3 linked regions of the Arabidopsis thaliana genome follow. The protein of the gene in region 2 interacts with the protein of the main gene of each other region in a pairwise test. Each region holds a gene or a part of one and is shown on either strand. Other genes may lie near its edges. The genes, in order: AT4G37445, AT5G27490 and AT5G42200.

The links.
Region 1: the proteins of AT5G27490 (region 2) and AT4G37445 interact in a protein complementation assay, tested with the Arabidopsis thaliana proteins (one large-scale study listed by BioGRID).
Region 3: the proteins of AT5G27490 (region 2) and AT5G42200 interact in a protein complementation assay, tested with the Arabidopsis thaliana proteins (one large-scale study listed by BioGRID).

The regions. Positions count from the first base shown.
Region 1 is NC_003075.7:17,602,784-17,607,274, forward strand, and holds AT4G37445 (calcium ion-binding protein), read right to left. Parts: upstream 2,162-4,491; 5' UTR 2,136-2,161; coding exon 2,105-2,135; intron 2,015-2,104; exon of another isoform or gene 1,996-2,014; coding exon 1,881-1,995; intron 1,788-1,880; coding exon 1,727-1,787; intron 1,640-1,726; coding exon 1,361-1,639; 3' UTR 1,311-1,360; downstream 1-1,310. Other genes in the region: AT4G37440 (uncharacterized protein), read left to right, coding at 1-79, 185-238, 329-807, 881-1,063; AGP18 (arabinogalactan protein 18), read right to left, coding at 3,143-3,229, 3,409-4,158.
Region 2 is NC_003076.8:9,701,556-9,707,331, forward strand, and holds AT5G27490 (Integral membrane Yip1 family protein), read right to left. Parts: upstream 3,189-5,776; 5' UTR 3,099-3,188; coding exon 3,036-3,098; intron 2,902-3,035; coding exon 2,862-2,901; intron 2,654-2,861; coding exon 2,573-2,653; intron 2,401-2,572; coding exon 2,211-2,400; intron 2,139-2,210; coding exon 1,871-2,138; intron 1,811-1,870; coding exon of another isoform or gene 1,782-1,810; coding exon 1,575-1,781; 3' UTR 1,280-1,574; downstream 1-1,279. Other genes in the region: AT5G27493 (uncharacterized protein), read left to right, coding at 1,639-1,810, 1,879-1,991; AT5G27495 (Defensin-like (DEFL) family protein), read left to right, coding at 4,822-4,906, 5,008-5,165.
Region 3 is NC_003076.8:16,858,068-16,862,753, reverse strand, and holds AT5G42200 (RING/U-box superfamily protein), read right to left. Parts: upstream 2,469-4,686; 5' UTR 2,232-2,468; coding exon 1,740-2,231; 3' UTR 1,464-1,739; downstream 1-1,463. UniProt on the Arabidopsis thaliana protein: E3 ubiquitin-protein ligase able to catalyze polyubiquitination with ubiquitin-conjugating enzyme E2 UBC8, UBC10, UBC11, UBC28 and UBC29 in vitro.

The sequences.
Region 1 (4,491 bases), on a different chromosome or scaffold from region 2:
AGGAAAACGAGAAAGCGAGTTGAAGAGACCGCTGATGTTACATCCTATGCATCAAACCATAATCTCTTCTCTTATTATGGTATGGAACTAGTTTGGTGTTCTTGTCTTTCTGGTCGTGATTAATGTTCATCTACCATTACTTGTCTAATAATTTCTTATCTTATTGTTTCTGATCTTTGTATAGATTGTCGGAAATCTTTGGCCGATATTGCTCTTAATGACAACTCCCGCAACCTAGGTATGGTGTTCTAAAATCTCAACTATGATATGATATTACTCCTTTTGAAAACTTTGATCTTATAAAATATTTTCTGTCTTGGGTCATCAGATAAGAAGAATAAGAGCGCCAAGGATGAGACAGCTTTCTCTGAAGAGACACCGCCTCTCGAGTTTAGAGAAGGCGATGCGTACTTGGAACAGATACTTTTGAAAATTGAAGCAGCAAAGTCAGAAGCCCGTAACTTGAAGATCCGCGTAGACAAGGTTTTGAGTGAAAATCCAAGTATATTCCCTCTGGCTAACACAGTGAATCCACTTGGAGCTGCTGATGTATACACCAGCTCAGAACAACAAAAGCCCCTGCTGGCTATCAAAAACGAAGATGAGAAATCGATCATCTCTGAAGAAAAACCGGTGAAATCTGCTTCAGTTTCATCTCATCACGTCTCACCTGAAGACGACGAGACAACAGATATTTTACTGTCTGAGATTCTAGCATCAAAGCGAAGGGAAGGGAAATCTATTATTCCCGATAAGAATCTAGTGAAGACAGAACAAGCTTCAATTGAGGAAGGTCCATCAAGACCTGTAAGTTTTCCGCTAACTCAGTGTAACTTTGCTAAACCCTTTTGGTCTCATATGCCATTCTAACACAACGCAGGTAAGGAAAAGAACACCGCGCAATCGTGAAATCATTACGAAGGAAGAGAGTAACCCAAAGAGGCGTCGGGTTTCAAGAGAGAAGCCAAAGTCTAATGCTGTGATGGCTTCTAGGTTTTCCAACAGGAAGAGAAAGCGAGGAAAACGAAGGTCAGGCTCTGCCGGGTTACGAAGAAGATCCTGAAGAAGGTTTGGAAACTTTCAAGTAACTAATCGGATCTTGTGTTAAAAAGTAAAAATTGTTCATTCTAAGATATTCTTAACTCTTAAGCCTTTAAAGTACAAAGAAATATTTATAGTGGCTGTGTTTTGATTCTTCATGTCAACAATATATTCAAACTACATCAACTTTTGAACTTTACTTCTATAATTTAGAGTGTATATATTTTTCTCTATTTTGTATTATCAATCAATCATGTTTTATATCTTGTCGGTGCTAAGTTTTTTTTGTTTGGAAAAGAAAGAAAGCTTAGTTAAAACACTATTTCAAATACATTCGTCTAGAGAGTTTGGCAGAGACAATGGCTAAAATGGTGACCGTAGGGACGAATATAACATCAGGTATAAGTTTGATTAATTTTAACTGAGGAACATTCTCTCCTGCTCTCTTAGCCGCCATTGCCGCCGGTGGAGATACTATTCCGGTGATCATAGTGACATCATCGAGTTTACTTGGCTTCACGCTCTTTGACATGAACTCAATGAACAATTTTTTCTTCTCTTCTTCGTCTTTCGCTTCCTTCCACCGCGCGAAACAAACCTGTTTAGATCATTCAACATTGTGTTAAAAATATAGAGAAATTATTATAAGATTCTTTGTGTGATTTTGATAGAGGAGAGGACTCACCTTTATTTGGTCCGGGGTTGGGAAATCGAAGTGCCTGCCTGGTAAAGCCGAGTTGAAGTTGCTGCACTCAATAGATAAAATTCCTTTTAAAAAAAAAAATGTTGGCCAACATAACCATTGTTTTCGAATGATCAAATAATGAAACAATCCTTACTTAAAGATGTCTAAAACAGCAACGTGGAAATCGTCGAAGTTGTTGATAGCTTTTTGGGTAAATTGTTTGTAGAGTGAACCCATTACCATATTCATCATCTGCGTCGGTGGTACCCCTAGGCCAAATATCGAAATCTATTTAGAAAGATATATAGGACGAAAATTTGTCAAAACGGTTATATAACGATTTGAGTCGATAATTGTTAGGTTAAAAAATTGCAAAACCTTTTCCGAGAAAGCCCATTGAACTACCCATATTGTCTAGAAGTTAGTCTTTAGGAAGAAGAAAATGTTATGTTTATATACAAATTTGTATTGGTGTGTGGAATCAGAGACTTGGCTTGGTGGGTTTGTGTCTTTGCAAAGCCAAGAATCTTGAATCTCTACACAAGACCTTGGTTCAAGTATAACTTGTGCTTTACTTACAAAATCTTAGCCATTTCTTCACAGTTGAGTAATGTACTTTTAATAAAAGCATGGGGAATATGACTTGTCCTCTATTCTCACTTTCTTTTTGCCTACCATATTAGATATCCATTAATTTTTTTCTTTTTCAAATCTAGTTCTCTAAGGAACAAGACAAAAATATGAATCTAGCTATTTGAAAGGTACAATAAAAAGCATTGTATTATATGATTGGTTGGATCTATACATGTTTAGTAATAAATTTTAGACAATTCATTTATAGCAACTTGGCCACTTGAGTTGGGTATCAGATATGAATTCAATAAATATTTACCAACTTCACATTATAAAAGACTAAGATCCAACTAAGTAGCTGACACTTTCATTCTCGCATAATTATACTCCAATTGTAAATATTTGTTTAAAGAAACACATGTAATTGGTTTCAAACGTAAATATCAACATTTGATTTACTAACACTTTAAACATTTAAAAGACTAAAACAAATTATGTAACTGCTTTGCTTATTGTTACATAGACGTTACTTACACAAACATTTTATTTTAGAGTAAATGTCCATAATTCTGCATTAAAATTGAATGTGTCATTTTCAATAAAGAACTCGGACCCATCACTAAAGGACTTTTGTCTGCAAAAGAAAAGAACAATCAATGTGTAAAACAGTATTTTCATCACTGACAGATATGAATTCTTATTATTTCCATATAAATAAAATAAAAGAAAACAAACTGTATAATCAATTAAATAATACTCATTACCAAATTCGTAAAGAAAGAGACAATGGTAGGGTCAAAAATATAAAAACTAAAAAATATCAGAGGTGAAATGATAAATAATTTAGAATGCCATAACGAGAACGGCCCATGCGGTTGCAACCGCTCCCACCGCTACATTCCTCAACACCCTTGTGCTCGCTGCTCCGCTCTGCATTCAATTCCATATTTTCATTTTAGTTAATCGAATATGTAATTACTAAATCAATATAACAAAAATTGAAAATCTATGTTCACTGTTTTGAAATGTCTCATTGGTTATTTTTAACATTGATACTCGAACTTGTGACGGTAGATAAATATCAACATTGTTGATATAAGCTAATGTACCTGATCGTCGGCGGAAGGACCGGGAGAAAAAGCGTCGGAGTTAGGTCCGGGAGATTCAGTCGGTGGTGCAGGTGGACCGAGAAGTTCCGGAGCCGGAGCAGGTGCAGCTTGATGCTTTTTCGATTTCTTTGTAGTCTTCTTATGCTTGCTTGGAGCAGGAGCCGGTACATCAGCAACCGGAGCGGCTACCGGAGCTGGAGGAGAATCAGCTACTGGTGCTGGAACCGGTGGAGAGCTCACTGGAGAAGAAACCATTGGTGCAGGAACCGGAGGAGAGCTCTCTGGAACAGGTGTCGGTGGTGGAGACGACTCGCTAACAGGAGCCGGAGATTTTGGTGACTCAACCGGTGAAGAAGCCGAAGCAGTTGGAGTTTTCGCCGGAGCCGTAGTGGGAGAAGTAACGGCGGGGGATTTAGTAGGGGAAGTAGTTGGAGCAGAAGGAGTGGTGGGAGATTTGGTCGGAGAAGAGATAGGAGATTGGCCACCGACACCGGCGACGACAATGCAGATCAATGTAACTGTTAGGAGGAAATTGCGATCCATAATTTTGTTAAAATTTGGATCAAACAAAAAAAAAAAAAAGAGTTTGAACTTTGAAGTGATGGTTAAAGTACTGATGGAGTTTAACCAAGCGTGTTGTTTGTTTGATGTAAGAGAAGTGAGTTTTATATAGGCGATGAGGAGAGATCTGGATCGTTGGATTAAAAAAGGATCACAGACAGATGTAGCCGTTGAGAAACAGAACATCATATCCTGTATCTATTAATGTAGGATTCAATACTTTTTTCATTTTTATTTTACAGAATAGCTCTTTTACTTTTTTCTTGTGCGTTTTTATAAGGATTTTTTTTTCTTGGCATTTTTCTCCTGTTATATTCTGCAATAAATTTATTCGCCAATGGTGGGTAGATTAGCATGTGTTTTGTTGAACATATGATCAGATATAGAAAATCAATTAATAGTAATTGTTTTTACGTTAGACATTAAATTGGTTATACTATAAATCACTAGTCTTGTGTCAACATAATAATTGGATTTGAAATTGATACCAATGTCGCTCACAAATTTTATCATTGTTTAATA
Region 2 (5,776 bases):
AAGGATCAACCAAAGTGAAGACAATAAGTATTAAGAACATTTTCAATTTTTATGTTGTTTTATACATTTACATGTATTTATACATTTACATGTATTTCTATTTTTCAGAGGTATTTTATTGAAAAGTTTTCACTATCTTTGTTCTACTATATATTTTTGAAATTATTCCAAACTCTATTTTCTTATTGAATAGTAAAGAATCGGTTTCAAGGTTATACTGAAACTGATGAAAATATCAAAAGATCTTTAAAATTTTATAGTCAATATACTTGCATCTATATTAAAAAAAAAATGAAAAGTAAGATGTGATATATCATAATTTTTGTGATTAATCTGTATTTTCAAAAATAGGGTTTATCAATGAACCTTGAAACCCTCAAAATAATTCAAAAAAAAGTAATCATTCATTGGGTGAAATTTGAAAAATCAGAGAAGATATAATTATTTTCGGAAAAAAGAAGTTACGTTTATTGGAAAGATCAATAGACTCTCCTCTTATCTCATTCATTTTCCACAAAAAAGAAAACACTAAGAAGAAAAAGAGTTATTCTGGAAATGTCAAATTTCAAGAACTTCTCTGACTTGCGTCCTAAAAAACGAAAAGTTCTGTATGTGTTAAGCTATTGAGGTTGTGGAATTGGCCTCCTAATTATTTCGGGGAAGAACCTACTATGATTTTAGTTGATGAGCAGGGATGAAAAATCTATTTACAGTTTTTATTTCAAGTTTAGTTGTTATTTACTGGATCTCTTGAATATAAACATCCATACAATATCTTCACTGAGATTTTATACTTTATATATTTAGAAAAGACAATGCTTATGATTTTGAATACTTTATATATCTTCACTGAGATTTTATATATGATCTCTGGGACATCGAATCGATGCATTGTCTCCTCTACATGCATACAAAGAAGAACTGATTTCTACATTAAGAGAAGGAAAATGGTATATACTCTCAAACTTCAAAGTGGTTGTACCTAACCCAGTTGACAGATTCTCTTCTCATGTGTTCCAAATTGAGTTTTTGAAAAACACTATATTTTGTTAATACAAAATAAATACCCTAATACAATTAAAATGTCATAGTACAATAGTTTCCAAAAATCTTCGAAATTTATATATCAAATTTTAACACTCGGGTGAAGCACGAATTATCAATCTAGTATATTGTAAAATTTGAATGTGTATGATTAAAATTTTGTTAAATACAAAAATTATTAAAATAAATATTAAAATAAATGTGTGGATCATGGTTTACTATTTAAAATTTAAATATTATAAATAAATATTTGAAGAAATTTTATATTACAACCATCTAGATAGGCGGGACTTAACTAGTTTAATATACGATCTCTACATTGTGTGTCAAAGCATATTCTGTTGATGATAACAAATGAAAGAAGAATCGTGCATCACAGATTCAGTCTCTAGTTTACAAAAATTGGACAGTCTCCAAGGTATAATAACTCTTTCCTTTTATGCTCTATACGGGATATTTGAATTGTGCCTTAGCTAAACCACCGGAAAAGAAGAAAAAAAAAACATAGCTTCTTCCCCTGAGGGAATAATTTATACGGTGACAGTGAACAGATATAGCTTCAGCACTACTGAGAGAGCGAGCTGTAGAAGAAATATGCTGACCACAATCAAGAACCATCTCTCTCCTGCAGAGTTAATATGTGCTTTGAGATTCAATGCTACAAATGTAGCAGACATGAATCCAGCTAAACCCGCAATAACCCATCTGAAGATCTCTAATGGCACAACAGAGAGACACTGCAGAAACGACATTTTCTTAGTCTCGGGTTTTTCCACATTGGATGTCTCATTGGGAGTAAAAAGAGGAATTTGTAAAACTAACTAACCAATGCAGGGATGAAGACGAATAGGGAATATCCGTATAGACAGAAGAGTTGGACTAAGCCTGATGGTGCAGAGAAGTACTTGAGAACAACGTATAATGCGAGAGGGACAATAGTTACATAACCGTAGAAAACTCCTGCAGACCAAGTCACCAGATTAATATCGTAGTTCCATTCCTGTTTCTTCAATTTGTGTGCTATGTATGTAACAAATGTTCCTATGGATGCTGCTACAAAGATCAATGTTGTGCATATCCAGAATGGCCCGTACCTGTAATCCACGCAACAAACTCCTTCAAAATCAGTCCACTTAGCTAAAAAACTGTAACGACTCGACTCTTACAAATCAGGGTTGTTGGCTGTCTTTTCCGTAAATGTTCCTCTAAACGGAAAGAGCGATTCTTTGAGTCTCTCTACGACATCTGAAGTGTCCACATCAAAGTAAGGCTTGTAAGCACCAACAGTGAATCTATGAAGCCAACCACTAGACTGAGGTTCATCTGTAGTACCATTCACAGGCCTCGAAAATGTATCTGCCACCGGTTGAAAGTCGATAAGATTAGCCAATAAGGCATACAAAACTCAGTCAATCAACATAAAGAAGTGGATGAACAAGTCCTCATATCCTACATTTCTCAGTCAACTTCTAACTAAAAAACGAGCAAAACTCCGTAAAATCGTAACTCAATCGAAAGGAGAAGTTACCGTCAGCATCTCGAGGAGGATTAGTACCACCAGAAATCTTTCCCTGAGTAGCAGATGGAGGAAACGTTTGTAGATTTGAGTCTGCATTTACAATGTATCCCTCAATCAAATCACAGAACAATATATAACACACACAATTGCTAAATCTTATCGTTATTCAAATTTTATAAACCTTAGATTGAAAATTCCTTCAACGCACTAAATACAAAATGTCTCTAAGCTCTTCCTAGTTCCGTTCTATCACCGATTCAAAACTAATACATTCTTACGAGAATACGAAAATGTTTACCTGCGAATTTGACGGTGACATGTCCAGGATCTGGAACAGCCTACGATGGATAATGGAAACTAGATCTGATCAGATTGAGATAAGAAACGAGAATCGACAATGCAATCCAATGGACAAGTGTAAAGAGAAGGATCACAGAAACATATGAACGAATCAGATAACGAAAGAGCTTACGGGTACAGATCCAGAAACTTTCTGGTGATCGATGTTCGTGTAGCTTCCACCGGACATCATCATCTTCGTTCTTCTTTTTCTCTTTCTCACAGCTGAAACAACAGAAATAACACAAACCCTCTTTCTCGTTTAGTAGCAATCAAACCATTTTTTTTATATACAGGGTTTTTAATTAGGGGAAATATCATTTTCTTTTTTTTTTGTCATCCGATTTTAATTAAATCTCAAGCGAGTCAAATCTAATCAATGTTGTTTACATAAGTGATATGAAGCGTTCAGTGCAAACTTTTCGCGCCAAATCTGGAGAAATATTATTTAAATCATGACTTTACAATTTTTGTTATTTGTTATTTTGGTGGTTTAAAACATAAACTCGAATCTTGTTATTTAAATTCTTAATTTTATATTGATTTTTATTTTAATCACGAATTTTTGTTGATAAAACCAAATAAGACAAATTGTTAACTACGTAAACAGAGATGTCATCGACGAAGTGTCATCGCCCTTCTTCTAGCGTCCTACGTAAACCAGTAAGGCTTCTAACGCTCTTGATCTGTCGCATTTGGGTGTTTTAACAATTAGCTAAAGCCCTTCTGCTCTTGCAACACATTCTTGTAGAAGAATAGATTCGAACGTCATCGCTTCATTTTCTCCTGCCGCTTTATTGCTTAGGTCGAGAAGAGGGACCGAAAATTTGGTTTTAATTAACCGATTTTATGTGTCCATGTTTTTTTATTCTTTTTTGCTATGGATTCATACTTTTAGGTTTCAAATTATGTTTGTAACCTAAACTGTTTTCATTTTATGAAATATTTACAATTTAGCAAAAAAAAAAAAAAAAATCTTCTTCTACACGAGTATGATTATTTTCATCTCACTCTTTAAAAACTAAACAATGATACTATCTGTTAGCTCCAGTTAACGATGTGTCTCAATTGGCTTAGTCAACCAGAATTCGAGATTAAATAAAAAGTCAACATAAAATTGAAGATTTAAATCATCAGATTCATATAAAATTAAAAATTTAAATTACCAGGTACAGATTTTATGTTTTAAACCAATAAAAACGGTAAAATAATATTTAAATAACATTGATTAAATCAAAGTTTTTTATTATGTTTTTTTTATTAGAAAAACAAAATCACAAAATTTTGTAGCTTTACCGTGCATATAAATTAAGTACATCAATACATTTAACTCAAAAATCACATGCTATATAAAATTAGTAATCAATTGTATAATTTCTTATACATATATATCATCTTAAAAAATAGTATAATAATTATTTTTTGAGGTTTAGTAGAGAATAAACAAAAGTCTTCTTATAATAAACAAAAGTTTTTTTTATAATAAACTTCTCTTTCTTAACATCAAATCATATAATTTTTTCTAACATGGCAAGATATCTCTAATCGTTACACTTGATACGTATTGTGATCGTGTTAATTACTAACTCTTAGAAACCAAAATATATACAATAAGATATTACTATAAATACATATATATTAATTTTTATATAATTTATTATCAAACATATATACAAGGACATTTATTTCTACAAAAAGATAGTATTCATAAGTACAAATAGATTTTATTGATCACACTAATGTTCAAATATTTTTATGTAAGAAAATCATCCTAATATAGTTTCTTTTGATTATAATCTGAGGAGATAAACTAAAAGATTTTCTTGCTTTTTCGTTTTTGACTTCAAAATATATATATAATACAACCATTTGTAACAAAGCATAAACATCAAAAACAAAATTAAGTCAAAATCATAGAAATGACTATTAGCAAGAAAATGTTAATCGTGTTTGTCCTGACTATCTTCGTTGTATCTTTTGGTCATTGCTCTGATAGTTTTCCTGGTACTATTTTTCATTATGCAAATGTTTACTTTTATGTGTAAATAAATATGGGTCTATTGATTTTTTTTATTAACGGTTGTTTAATGATTATTGTTAAATAGGTTTAGGATTAAAGAAGCAAGCACATAAACAATGCTACAGTCCAGACCTGTGTACGGGAGGAGACAGCAAATGTGATATATGTTGTGTTCTTATAAGTGGTGTATACTACGGTAAATGTATTCAAAGCAAATGTCATTGTTTGAATAAGACTAAATAATCTAATCAACTATATGTATCCGCTAATAATATTATAATCTAATTTTCTTTGCTAAAAACAAATTTCATAATCTTTAATAATTATGAAAGAGGAATAAAGATAATTTAGAAGTCAATGTAAGATAAATAAAATAAAATAAAGTTTAATTTTTTAGAAAGATGATTCAGCCGGACTAGATCTGGGGTTCAAAATATTAACAAGCGGTGGAGCATGTAGTTTAATTCGATACAACGCGTAGAACCTTAATTACATCATCTCCAACAATGACCTTCATTTTAAGGGTCATAAACTTTCAAAATAAGGATTTGAGGGTTGAGTTAGTCAATTCTACACAACTCTTTGAATTTGATGTAAAGACAGGAGATTTTATTCCAAAGATGTGATCTTAGAGTTCGTTTACACTAACTATACCATTAGTGGGAACTTTGCTTTAATCCAACAACAAAACCTCAAATTAATCTATTTCTAAAACTTTTTTGTGTTTACATAATAGATCTCAATATTAACAATAATTTGTTATAATGATAAAACTTCATAAAAAAAACTAATATGTACATTTCAAAAATAATTATATAAAAAAATATTAGAAAAACAAAAATTTACATGTTACT
Region 3 (4,686 bases), 7.2 Mb from region 2:
AATTTTCGGAGCACTACATAAAGGCTTTATGATAAAGAAATGAATGAAGGATGCGTAACCTATTCAAATGTTTTGGTGGCACTGAAATTAAGTTTTTATTTTTCCCTTTTCTGATAAAGGCACTGAAATGAAGTTAATCTAAGAGACAGATGTATCCCACTTGCTAGCTGGCGATTGCCCTACCCCCAATCACACATTCTCTTTTTGTTTACATTATTCAGGTAATATATTTGTTTTCATATGGGTCTAATTTTATTTTTTTAAATAGATTTATTAGTCTCTATTTGATTAATTTCTTAATTTAAGCGATAAAAACCCAACTTTGGAACCTGATTTGTCAAGCCACAAAAAGTGGTTTTTCCCTACTTCTTTACCATTTGAGATATTTTCCACTTCCTTCACGCCAACAAATTCCGAACCCACAGATACATATTGCCCAAAAACCTACGTTACAGACAACCCACATTAATTACCACAGATATTTTCATTTATGTCTGTCTATTTGAAAGATTTTTTTTTTTGTTTTTTTGGTTTTTCTTCCGAAACAATATTGTACAATGAAGTACATTTGTACGTGGCCCGATGGCCATATTACACATGTTAACTAAAATAAAATCAGGTTTGTTGAAAAGTATATTACTTCGGATTTTTTTTATTTTTTACGTATGTTCAAATTCGGACTAAAATTATAGATTATTGAGGAAAATAAAATAAAATAAAAAACCTCAAAAACTAAAACTATGCTAACTATTTGTCTAAAAAATAGGTTTTGAAACGCTAGTACATATTTCTCAATTAAATAGTGATTTATATTTTTGACCCAAAAATAGTGTAATTTACATGTAATCATATAAACAAAATTTTCCACCAAAGAAGATATTATATTGAATCAGTGAATGGGTTTCGTATCATTGGTGATTGGAAAAGGATGGTGGTGACATTTTCTCTTAAAAGAAGAAGTAAATGCATCCAATCACTTTTTCTTCAGTAAATTCGAGATTGTTTTTAGAAACGCGTGACTAAAAGCATGCAGCTGGACAGTTCATTTTCTTACCATATTAATCAACTCAAGAAATATACGCAGAGAATAATTTACATCTTTGTTCAAAGTTTCAAACACTCTAAGAATTAGCAATTTAATACTTGATTTGAAACCCTCGGGGAGTAAAAAATAAAACAAAGTACATTTTACTAATTACCACCTTACTTTCCTCGTCATGTGTGGTGAATTTTTTTATATAATTCTTGTAATTCAGAAAAATTTACAGCTTAAGAATTATATCCCCATATTCTGCCAGATCTTTACATTGCCATGCGTCAAAATGTTTTGACCTCCATTATTAAATAAATAATAAATACACAAAATATGTCTTTATGTACTTATTTTTGTTTATTGATATCATCATAGTACTCATTATGTTGTGGGGGAAAAACAGTAATCATCACATTTTATAGTGATCTGATTTATTTATTTTTTGTTGGACCCAAAGTTTAACTCTATCATTGATATACTTATTGTAATGGTTGAAGAAAAATTGTTGTAAATACAATGACATAACTGTAAATTTCGTAATTTACTCTAAAACTAATTTCATGTACAAAAAAAAACAACAAGGCTAGTTACAACCTGGAAACTTCTCTCTCTATAACGCTTACACAAAACTAAGAAAAGGGAAAAACAAGAGAAGTACACAAAACGAGTAAAAAAGAAGGAAAGAATGTTTTTGAAAATTCTGTTTCTAACATGGACTTTGATTTTCATTACATTGAGGTAGGTTCGGAGCCAGCTCGGCGCGGCAAACTGGACAAACCGTGTGGTTAGATAGCCACGTATCAGCACATAATTGGTGAAACCCATGGTTGCAACCGGGAACTAGACGAGTCGATTGACCACTCTCTATATCTTCAAGGCAAACAGCACATTCCGTTGATCTAGCTATTACGGCTAGCTCTCTTCCGGTGAGTTTAGGGATTTTCTCGAGCTCCAACACCGAAAGGCCTTTACCTGTGACCGGTTTAACCGGTTCAGCAAATCGAAGGCGTTCGATACGACGCCGTGTGGAGCACCACAAGAGGAATAGATAGATTAGGAAGACGATGCACATGCCGACGCAGGGGAGGAGAAGGGCCATGAAAACAGTAGCTATCATCGTCCCACCACCGCTAGATTCAGCCGCGGCGGTTGGTGATAGAGATGGTACTAAAGCCGGCGAGATGCGTGTGTAGTGCATCTTTACACCGTCTCTTGCTCTCTACGGCTTGCTTTATTTTTTTGGTTGTAAAAAAGCAAAAAGGAAAAAGAAAAAAAAAGTTATATTCCTCTGCTTGTTCTCTAAGTGTTGTTGGTAGTGAAAATCATGTGAAAAAGAGTAACGGCTATTTATACAAAGAGGAGAGGCTAGGACACGGTAGAGCCAAATATCAGGGTTTAGGTTAAACTATTATTGTTATGATTTTGTTTCTTTTCGTACAATCAGCTTTTCTTTATTATTATGGGTTTGCTTGTTTTATATACACCAGGTTCTTTTGCCCCATTGAATTATTATAAAACGTCAATTTTAAATGGCAATGAAAACGATTTGATATATGGCTTCCACTAACACACACATATATATATATATATATATATATATATATCCAAATTTAGATTTTTTATTTATAAACTTATATTATTACAACAAAAAAATTTAATAATTATTATTTCATTCCTATATACCAATATATAAAATAATTAGTAATTTGATCGAACTAAATTTTTGGAATGAGAATTAACATAACGAAAGAAAATCTCAACCCTATCATTAAAAGAGTGTGTGAAAAATGTTTTCAAGAGGTTTCACATGGAGAAAGTAGAACTGGATAATACTCTTTTGTTTTGTCAATCAAAAGATCATGAATTATGTGATCGAGCACGAGATAGCATATAGGATAAGGTTTTGTATGCTTATGTTATTGGCCACCATATGTCTGTGATGGCATGCTTAAGATCGGAGACAGATTGTAGAGGGGAAGTTATTAGCTAGTTACAATAAGCAGTTTAGAAAATAACATCTTTGACAAACATTTTTTGGAAAATACTCCCTCTGTTTTAGAATATAGGATTTTTTGGGGAATTGTTTTTTTGGTTTCAAAATAAAAGATGTTTTACAAATTTCTATGCAACTTTTCAATGCATTTAATATTTTATTATCATTGGTTAAAAATTTTAAAACTAAATTTTACTCCCTAAATTTCTATGGAGTCAATGATAGTTAGAAAATAAAATCTTAAAATATGTATTTTTAACTAAAACATCCTATAATTAATATGAAACAAGAGTCTAACAATATTAAAGGTTTTAAGCGGACTTTTAGGAATCTGAAATAGAATATAATAAAGCTCACCATTATTTTCGAGAAGTAAAAGATGAGAGATTTGTTGATGATAAAAGTGGTGGTGATCAGTACAGTCGGATATACATTTTTAATGGTAATATAATTTTTGGTTTCAAAGTTAAAGAAGATTAAAGCTTTGTTTATGAAGCTGAGTATGCCGGATTCTGTTAACAATAGTGTTCATTTCGTTTTTGTTAACATCATTTGGTTTTTGTTTCGACTAATTTTTATATGAATTTATTTATTTTTTTCTTTTTTTGAATCTGTAATTGTAAATGGTATTAAGCCTAGTCCAAGCAAAATTTACCAGTTAAATAGACAGCGATATAGGTGTTGAGTTAATCAGGGCAAACTCTTGTACTTAAAGATGTACTTATATGTCTGACTAGTATGATGAGAGCCATACAATGTACATGATAGGTGGTGTCCTAGTGCATGTGACGTTATGTAAAACAAAACTAGGATTTTATAAAACCCACATTTTTTTATGGTGTTCAATCAATTCTTGTGGTTTCGTTATTTAATTACTTGAACGTCATAATGTCTTGGTAAAACACCCTTTTAATGTTTTCCTATCTGTCACGTGTTTGTTCATATTACGTACGTTGGATTCACACGAAACACATTTCTACACCAGTTTCATACAACCTTTATATGAAAATATGTTTTTACTTAGACTACTACTCAGAATCTTAATTAGTCCATACAGAAGAATACAAAGCAGAAAAAATATCATTAAGAACCTCAGAAAATAGAGCAACATAAAAGCTCTATAATACTACTATTGAAGCTCTTTCATTTTGGAAGAAAATAAATTAGCCAACAGAATATAGAACAACATGGCACAACACTTTTCTCGACATTTAAGTTCTGAAAAAGCAATGCTAATTATTAATTTAACCTGCTTAACTTTTTTCCAACAAAATTATAAATTCTGTTTCTTTTAATTATTAATGAAGAAATCATGAGCTATCGTATTATACAATGTTTGCGGTTGTATGGCCATTTGTGTTTTGGGCCGGTAAAATGGAATTTCAAAGCTAGGGTCGTTGATTTATTTGCTTTTCTGTGACCGGTGAAATGGAATTTCAAAATTTCTCTTTACCTTACTTTGAGACTAAAAGTATTTTCTTCTTCTATGCTTACAAAAAGTACTTTAGTTTGAGAGCTGTATAAAATAATAGCAATCATGTTCTAGGAATTAGAGGCGACGGAGAAGTCCAATCCACTAAAAAGTTAAAGAAGATAGCACTTGAAGATAATGCGTTAAAGTAGTTATTTATTTTCTAACAAATAAATTTCAATTAAATAG